Callithrix jacchus: one gene and its partner. The protein of the gene in region 1 interacts with the protein of each later gene in a biochemical or structural test. Links are inferred from orthologs where the notes say so. Each region holds a gene or a part of one and is shown in the gene's direction. Other genes may lie near its edges.

What was found. The genes of interacting proteins can lie anywhere in the genome.
Region 2: the proteins of SORT1 (region 1) and BDNF form a complex in vitro, tested with the Homo sapiens proteins (2 studies listed by BioGRID and IntAct, with this or other methods). The link is inferred for Callithrix jacchus from reciprocal best matches to the Homo sapiens genes SORT1 and BDNF.

Annotation. Positions count from the first base shown.
Region 1 is NC_133508.1:147,277,808-147,281,909, reverse strand, and holds the start of SORT1 (sortilin), read left to right. Parts: upstream 1-1,156; 5' UTR 1,157-1,221; coding exon 1,222-1,527; intron 1,528-1,832; exon of another isoform or gene 1,833-1,941; intron 1,942-4,102.
Region 2 is NC_133511.1:93,064,310-93,068,624, reverse strand, and holds the start of BDNF (neurotrophic factor BDNF precursor form), read left to right. Parts: upstream 1-1,478; 5' UTR 1,479-1,988; coding exon 1,989-2,213; intron 2,214-4,315. UniProt on the Homo sapiens protein: Important signaling molecule that activates signaling cascades downstream of NTRK2. During development, promotes the survival and differentiation of selected neuronal populations of the peripheral and central nervous systems.

The DNA of each region.
Region 1 (4,102 bases):
TTGTATCATTTTGCTGTACATTGTATACCCTCATTTGGTTTTATGGCCAGCGTATAGTTAAAAGTCATCTTTACTTTCTTTGAGTGTAACGATTTGCATATTTTGTAGCTTTCTATTTGCTACCTTTTCTACTCAACAATTTCTAACTTTCCAAAGGGACAGAGTCAGTTTAAGGATTCAGAACTGGTTTTACCTGTACTACGTGTTGTAGAAGTTATGTGTGCAGCTTCTGCAGTAAAGGGAACAGCGTAGGGCTTTTATTTTATTCATTGGAGGTGGATTGGGGTTCTAATTTAGAGGACATCACATACTGGAACCAAACTTGTGCGAAGCTCTCACTGCAGAGCTAAGGCATTCTTGTAAAGTACATGTGCATCTAGGAAATTATCATGTAAACGGTAGGCATTGGGTCATTTGCCCCCTTTTACCTGCCCCTAATGTCTAAGTTACATTCGAAGTACTGGAAAACCTGTAATTCCGCCTTTGGCCTACCTCCCCGCAGAAGAGGAAGGCGAAAGAGGCTAAACGTGTGGAAAGTCTATTCTTCAGGCTTGCAGGAGTCTCGGATGTCCTGTCGTCTGTCTCCGTAGGATGTGACCCACACCAGTTCGCATTCACCTTGGCAACAAGGGGGCTGCTTAGCCGACAATGGGCGCTCCAGTGAGCGGGGTTTATAAAAACCTGAAGCCCCGGTTCATGATGGAGCTCCTTTTTCCAGCTGAGCGAGCTCAGGGATTCCCCGGGGGAGATTTTCCAGGCTCTGCCTCACCGAAGGAATTTTAGGGGTGTCTCTGGGGAACAAGAGGGAAGTAACACAGCTCCAACTTGAGGGCGCTAGAGGTGCGGCGAGGGGTCGCGGCGCCAGGAGCCCGGGGCTCGGCGGGAAGGTGGGAAAAGCTCTTACGTGAACTCAGTCAGCCGGGCCCTGGAGACGCTGGGCGAGGCGGGGTTGACCTCAGCAGTCTCTGCCACGTTCCAGCCAATCAGTCCCGCATCTTGGCATCCGAATCCAGGACCCCCGAAGCCGGAGGCGACGCGAGCCAATGAGAAGTGGGCCGGGAAAGAGGGACAGGCGGCCAGCCTATGGGGCGGAGAGGCCCGGCCGCGCGTATCCAAGGAGCGCCGCGCTCGGCTCGGGGGTGTGGCGCGCGCCGGCGGGGGTAGGCGGGCGCGCCGGGCGGCAGGTGTCGGCGGCGTCGGCGGCGTCGGCTTTCGGCGGCGATGGAGCGACCCCGAGGAGCTGCGGCCGTCCTCCTGCGCTGGCCCCACGGCCTCGGCCTCTTTCTTCTCCTGCAGCTGCTGCCGCTTGCGACCTTCGGCCAGGACCGGCTGGACGCGCCGCCGCCGCCTGCTGCGCCGCTGCTGCGCTGGTCCGGCCCCATTGGGGTGAGCTGGGGGCTGCGGGCGGCGGCGGCCGGGGGCGCGTTTCCCCGCGGCGGCCGTTGGCGTCGCAGCGCGCCCGGCGAGGACGAGGAATGCGGCCGGGTCCGGGATTTCGTCGCCAAGCTGGCCAACAACACGCACCAGGTGAGCGGGCGCCGGGGCCGGGCGCCGCTCGGCTTCGAGGTGCCGCCAGTGCGCCCCTCCCGGCCCGCGCGCCTAGCTCGCCCCGCGACTCCCGAAGGAGACCCCGGCCCCACCGCGTCCGCGCCACCCCGGGCCGCAGCTCGGAAACTGCGGCGGGCAGGCGGGCGGAGTCGGGCCCGGGCGGCCGGCTGGGCTGTGTTTCGTCACAGGGGAGGCAATCTTAGACTTCCACCGCATTCTTCTTTTTTTTTTTTTTTTTTTTTTTTTTTTAAGTTGTCAAAATCTCTTGAGCGTCATTGTTTTCCGTCTGTATAAAAAATCAGGACCCAGTAAAGCTGTTAGGCCCCAGGAAGCTGGAGGAGTAATTAATTAACTCTTGAGCGGTTGCAGAAGTTGGGCTGCGCAGAAGCAAAGGTGTGTCCTCCCTGGGTCAGTACTTTCGGGGTGGAGAGGCGGGAGTTCAGGAGGCCAGAAGCAGCGGTCGGGTCACCGTGTGTGTTTTGATAGTTAAGGGGACTAGCTTGGAAATGAGATGGTAGTATTTATGTGATCTCTCTTACTCCTTCAGATTTGACCTTCTGTCGTGGTACGGAACCCTGACTAGTATGTCTACATCTGTGGTGATAAGATTTTCAATACTTAGGAAAGGAATTGCATACATTCTGCTTTGAGCCAGTTCTCCGTCAAAAGACTTTCAGAATTGTGGTATTTCTGTCCCTGGGGACAAGCAAGCTCAACCTTTGCACACTACTGGATTGACAAAACCAGTTATTAAGAAAGTCCTGGCTTCTTGCTTCTGCACAACTTGGGCATCTTCTTTTTCTCTATAATTAACAATTTAATTCTTGCTAGCTACATTTGCATAATGTATTTTCAATTCTATATATTTTCTTGCTTGCTTGTTTTCCTCTTTCACAGAGAATGAATTGCACTTGGGGGTAGGGATGGGTGGCCAAGGCTCTGTGCTTGCACTTGTCTTTCTGTAATCACATTTCAATATCAGCCAAGCCTCAGTTTCCCCTTGGACTGCCCAGTTATCTGGACCATACTTGTTACCTGTGATAGAATTCTCTGATCTGGGGACACAAGACACAAGTATTCAGGAATAACTGTGCTTAGTGCAGCTGGAGCAGCAGTTGTATAAAGGAGGCCAAGCTAGTGCTGAAGGGTGGGACAGATTGAGTAGAATGAGTACTGGGAAGTCTTCCTACTTGATGAGAAATTAAAAAAAAAATAATAGAATAGACTTCCTTCTCACAGTGGGGGGTTGAGAAAGGCTTTACAACACTGATGCTTAATTTATACTGGACCACTTCCTTCCCTGAGCCAGCTGGACACAGCATTCTTATTCCATATTTCAAATTCTTCTCTTGCTGGTTGACCTAACTTTAGGTCTGCAGCTACTCCTGGATTTAGATTTACTCCTTTTTTTTTTTTTTTTTTTTTTTTGGACAGGGTCTTACCTCAGCCTTCTGAGTAGCTGGGACTACAGGTGTGCACCACTATGCCTAGCTAATTTTTGTGTAATTACTACTTTTTTGAGATGAGGTCTCACTCTTTTGCCCAGGCTGGAATGCATTGGTGCGATCACATCTCACTGCAGCCCTGACCTCCTGGGTGCAAGTGATCCTCCCACGTCAGCCTCCCAGGTAGCTGGGACTACAGGCACATGCATCTAGCTAATTGTTCTTTTCTTTTTTCTTTTTTGGAGACAGGGTTTTGCCCAGTTGCCCAGGCTGGTCTTGAACTCCTGGGCTCAAGTGCTCCGCCCACCTTAGCCTTCCACAGAGCTGGGATTAGAGGCCTGAGCTACTATGCCCTGCCTCTGTTTATTCCTTGAGGCAGAGTCTTCCTGGTTAGTTTGAATTGATATGTCATTTGTAATATATTGATTGATTCCAAAGCAAGAGGTTGAGAAAACCAGCTCAGGGGTTCTAAGGCCAAATCTATGGATGAGCCAAACTAAAACCACTCCTTCTTTAAGAAATTTTCTTTTATTTCTTTCATTTAGCAGTTTCTAATGATTTTTTTTTTTTTTAGCTTTTCTCTCCCAGTGTTTTTTCAGTGACCTTATTTATAATAGCTATTTTGGCCAGGCACCATGGCTCACATTTGTAATCCCAGCACTGTGGGAGGTCAAGGCAGGTGGATCACTTGAGGTCAAGAGTTCGAGACTAGCCTGACTAACATGATGAAACCCTGTTTCTACTAAAAATACAAAAATTAACCAGGCTCAGTGTCATGCACCTGTAATCCCAGCTACTCCGGAGGCTGATGCATGAGGATCACTTGAACCCAGGAGGCAGAGGTTGCAGTGAGCCTAGATCACACCACTGCACTCCAGTCTGGGTGACAGAGCGAGACTCTGTCTCAAAAAAAAAAAAAATTGCCCTTGTTGATCATCTGTGGTCTCATCCTTTCTGTATCTGGTTTAAAAAAAGAAAAGTGGAGCCTTTGTTTAATATCCTTTACCTCAAAAGTGGTTAAGTAAAGTACCACTTCCTTAACCAAGAATTGTTATGTAGTAGCCTGTTCTATTTATTTATTTGTTTTTAGAAGTCATAAAGAATCCTGA
Region 2 (4,315 bases), on another chromosome or scaffold:
GGAAAGCCACTCCTCTTCCCCTTTATAGAACAGTCGCACCTGAACAGTTGCATTGATGACTGTATCCGGTCTACACAAGAGGCCATACCTGGGCATAAGAATGGACTGACAAAACCTAGCCAACACACCATTGACAAATACACATTTCTTTTGTTAATAATACCTGTGAAGCCTTTCACAACAGACATTTCCAGTTTTGTTTTCAGGCTCCTTGCAGCTGCTCCTCTAAAAGTCTCCTCTCTTCCCAGAGCTGACAATGACCAGAAGCAAGGTGTTCTGTCTTTTGTGCCATCATTTGGGATGTCAGCTCAGGTATCAGTTTTGTATCAACTCAGTATGGCTTGTGGGTCTGTTTGCCTTTGTTATTCATGCCAAGAGCCTCTGGGCATCAGTTCCGTGTGAGAGAACCCATTCCATGACCCTCCTTCTTTTGGCTGTTTTGACTCGATGGCTCTTGTTGGCATAGTCGGTGAATGTCTGATGCTCTATCCATGCCAGACCACCTGCTTTGCTGTCTCTGTGGTCTGAACTAGTTGTCTGAACTACTCTTTGATAATCTGAGATTACCTTGCTCTACCTTTCTTTTCAAGTCACATCTCAGCCCCTCAGCCACATTCCCGAAGAACATGACAAACGGATGGGTCACAAGTCACGTAGCATAGTGTGTCAGACCACCAGGTTTTGAAGGGATTCTGTTTGGGTGCCAAAAAGAAAGATTTTATGTCACCATGATTTTTTTTAATGGCCTGTTGACACTTAGGCCTTAATTGAAAGCATTCTTACTCAAGTAGAGTTGACAGAGGAGTATTTGGTAGTTGTGGTTGCTGGTCTGAAAAGCATGTGGCTCTGTTTCAATACTCAAAGAGATCTTCTCAGGGGAAAAAGTTCTGACATCTCAAACAAATGACCTTCATGCATAGTTTTGACACGATGCCCTATTAAGTATGTGTGTATGGTCGGTACCTTGTGGTAATAATTCAATACGGGGAACAGAGTAGCAACAAAGAAACATTAGGGTTATATTTAACCTCTGTGGAATTGGTGTGTAAACAAACTGCTTATCAGAAATGATCATATGGGGCTTTGTTTAAATAAATAAGAAACTGACACACAGGGTCTGTGGGATATCTCTGCCAAGCAGACCACCCTCACATTATAAGATACCACATCCATGTCTGACCCCATATGGAAAGAGGCATAGCAAGCCAGCACTGGTTCATATTCCGTCCACCACATAGTGGGTTTGTGATCTTAGGGAATCCACCACAATGCTCTGAAACTCTCAGTTTCCTCAGCTATAAATAGTGAATAATCAAATGATCTACCTCACCATTAATAAATGTTAGCTATTTTTAAATCAAGTTTAATACAAAGAGAAACATTTTATTTTTCCAGCTGCCCAGAGCATTTTCCAAAATCCTATCACCAACAAATACTATATTGTATTTATTATAGCAACTTTGTATAAATGGAGTCCCTGTCCTATGCTTAGATGAAATATGTTGGCATTTGAGTTTGCATGTCTTCTATAGGAATAAGTGTTTAGTGAAAATGGGTGGAGACAAACAGATGTTCTCACAGTCCTGTTATTCACAGTACCGCCAAATCGAATGTTTCCATATAGGTGCATTCTAATGGCTTAAATGATGCGGATATTTTCTGGCCAGCCATATGGATCTTTTGTCATCTAAGATGTTAATATTTTCCTTATATTTTATAGTAGTTCTGGAGGACCGCCAGTTTCTTGAATAGGGTCCACATGGCTCATTATGCACAGGGCCTGGAAACTGCCTTACGCATGCTGTTGAGATGAACAGTGACACTTCAGAAGAGCTGGGAGCTGGGGTAGAGCAGTGGCTAGGAGAACATATTCAATTATTTTTCCACTTGCATTAAGCTACAAGTAATGAGCACTTTCCTGTGCTTTACAGTAAGTAATTAAAAGAAATTATAAAGTTGGATGCAAAAATAACCCGAAGGACAACTGGATGTGTGGAGCCACCAGTTTTCTCCATGAGCACACAAGGTTAATCCTTGTTACTGCTCAGAATGCTGAGTTTCTACAGGAAGGGTTGCAGGTCCACACATGTTTTGGCGTCTACCCACACACTTCTGTATGGCATGACTGTGCATCCCAGAAGAAGGGCTGTGCTGTGTGCCTCCGCGTTTCAGTGGAATTTAACAAACCGATCCCTGAAAATGGTTTCATAAAGGTGAGTAACAGCTAATAGCCTTCTCTTGCTAATTTTATCTTTCCCCCAAGATTTCTTGATAATAATTTGAAAAGGAGTGTTATTCCTTGGTCTCTAGAGGCAACTTACCTTTCCAGTTTCTTCCCTCACCTGTTTTCAACTCTCTTGCTTTTTTAAATTTAATGTTCTATGTATTTCAGAAGATAGGATCTAACCTAGTGAGGTCCCTTCATCAGGTGATAATTATCTCATTTTCATTTTGGCCCTCTGAATTAATGGCATTGAAGCCTGGCAGTTTGATCCTAAGATGGGTTTAATTATGTACAGATACTCTTTCTATAATGGAAATTGCTCAGATAACTAATTAACCACAAGAATACACTGACTATGGAAAATTTCAGGAGCACCGTCTGTGGAAAAACTGGGAAGGGCATGCTGTCACCACAGCTCTGGGGTCTATTAAAAGTGTGGTTATGCAGCACTGGTGTCTAGTGGGGCGTTGGCTCTCAACTGTCAGAATTCCCATAGCATTTCATGGCAGAGAGTCAAGATGTCCAGCAATACTCTGAAAGCAACCTGTTGATTAAAGTTGTTAATTCTGAAGAAAGTGATTGAAATAAGACAAATGGGTCTTAACTTTCTTTCTCTTTCTCTCTTTTGTAAAAAAGTGTGATCATCCTGGCATGTGCCCAATCCTAACATAATGCCAACATCTTTTCTTAAAGGGGGATTCTGTTTATCCTTGGGTCTGACAGTTATTGCCTGTTCTCCCCTTAGGGACAATGAATGCAGTTGCATCACCCTTGCTTGCTTTTCTTTTTTTTTTCTTTTCTATTTTTTTTTGGTACAGAACATGCTTATTTTTGGATGTAGGGACTTGAAAGACAAAGCCCCACCTGGCTTTCACAACATCTCCTGTTAGTAGGTGTGCCTTGTATGTAATTTGAAGGAGGCAGTCCCTTAGCTGTGTTTACACTATACTTTTCATTGTGGGGCTGAAGGTGCAATCAACTATACTTGAGATGCTACCTGGGAAAACAGGGTTCTGTGTCATCTCAGCCCCACCCATTTGCAAATGATTTAACAGCAGCACTATTCGGGTTCCTAGTGCAAGTCATTTGCCTTTGGGCCCGTGAACTTGGTGACTTCGTGTATGGAAACAAACAATCTTTGCAGTCTTTTGTAAAAAGCCTAAACAGTGGACCAGTCTCCAGTTCTACTTGGCAAAGCTGCCCCCATCAAATCCCTCATAATGTTCAACTTAAAAATTTTTACTTTTCTCTGGAAATCTAACTTTTTTCCTTTTAAAAAAAACCATTTTAAGTACTTCAGTCTTGAATGAAATGATCCCAAATATTGGACACCAGCTAAAAAATTGAATTACCTTCTGGGAACCTTATTGAAGAAGAGAGATATTGTTTGGAGAGGGGGTTTCGATGCTTGATACTTATATTTACTGTTTTAAGATTTCATTGTTGTTGCTGCTGCTGCTTTATTCCGTAAGTTTTGTTTCTTTAAATTTCATGGTATTTGGTAGGAGAGATCTGGATCTGTTGGTTTCAGGACGAGTCTAGAAATAAGAAATCTGCCTTGAGTGGGTGAGTTGGTTCGCTCTGTTGCTATTTCACCATTTAGGACCAAAAGAACTCACAAGGACAAGAGACATCTGGCTAAAAGTAATACCAGTGTGACTGGACATCTACTACCTGCCATAATTGGTCATATCATTTCCAGTATGATGCTGATTGAGTGAATGATATTAGGCTATGTTCAGGGATCACAGAGGCTAATTGTGCTTATATTGCCTTATAGCATTGTGGTAAAAATTAATGATTATGTAGATGTCCACATTTAGGTTATCAATACTCTAAAAGTTCTCATTGAACCAATCATGTTTATAAGTAGCTTGTACTTTGTAACATAATAACAATAGTGGAAAAATTAGTTGACATAAAAAGAGTGCAGACTTTATTTAATACCATTACAAAAGCAAAGGCATTTTTCCACATAAATGTCCCCATAAAATAAATGGAACCAAAGAGGAAAGATGACAGGTAACCCCATGACATGCTAAGAAAGTATCCTAATACTTAAGTTGACTTTAACCTTTTATTTCCTTATCC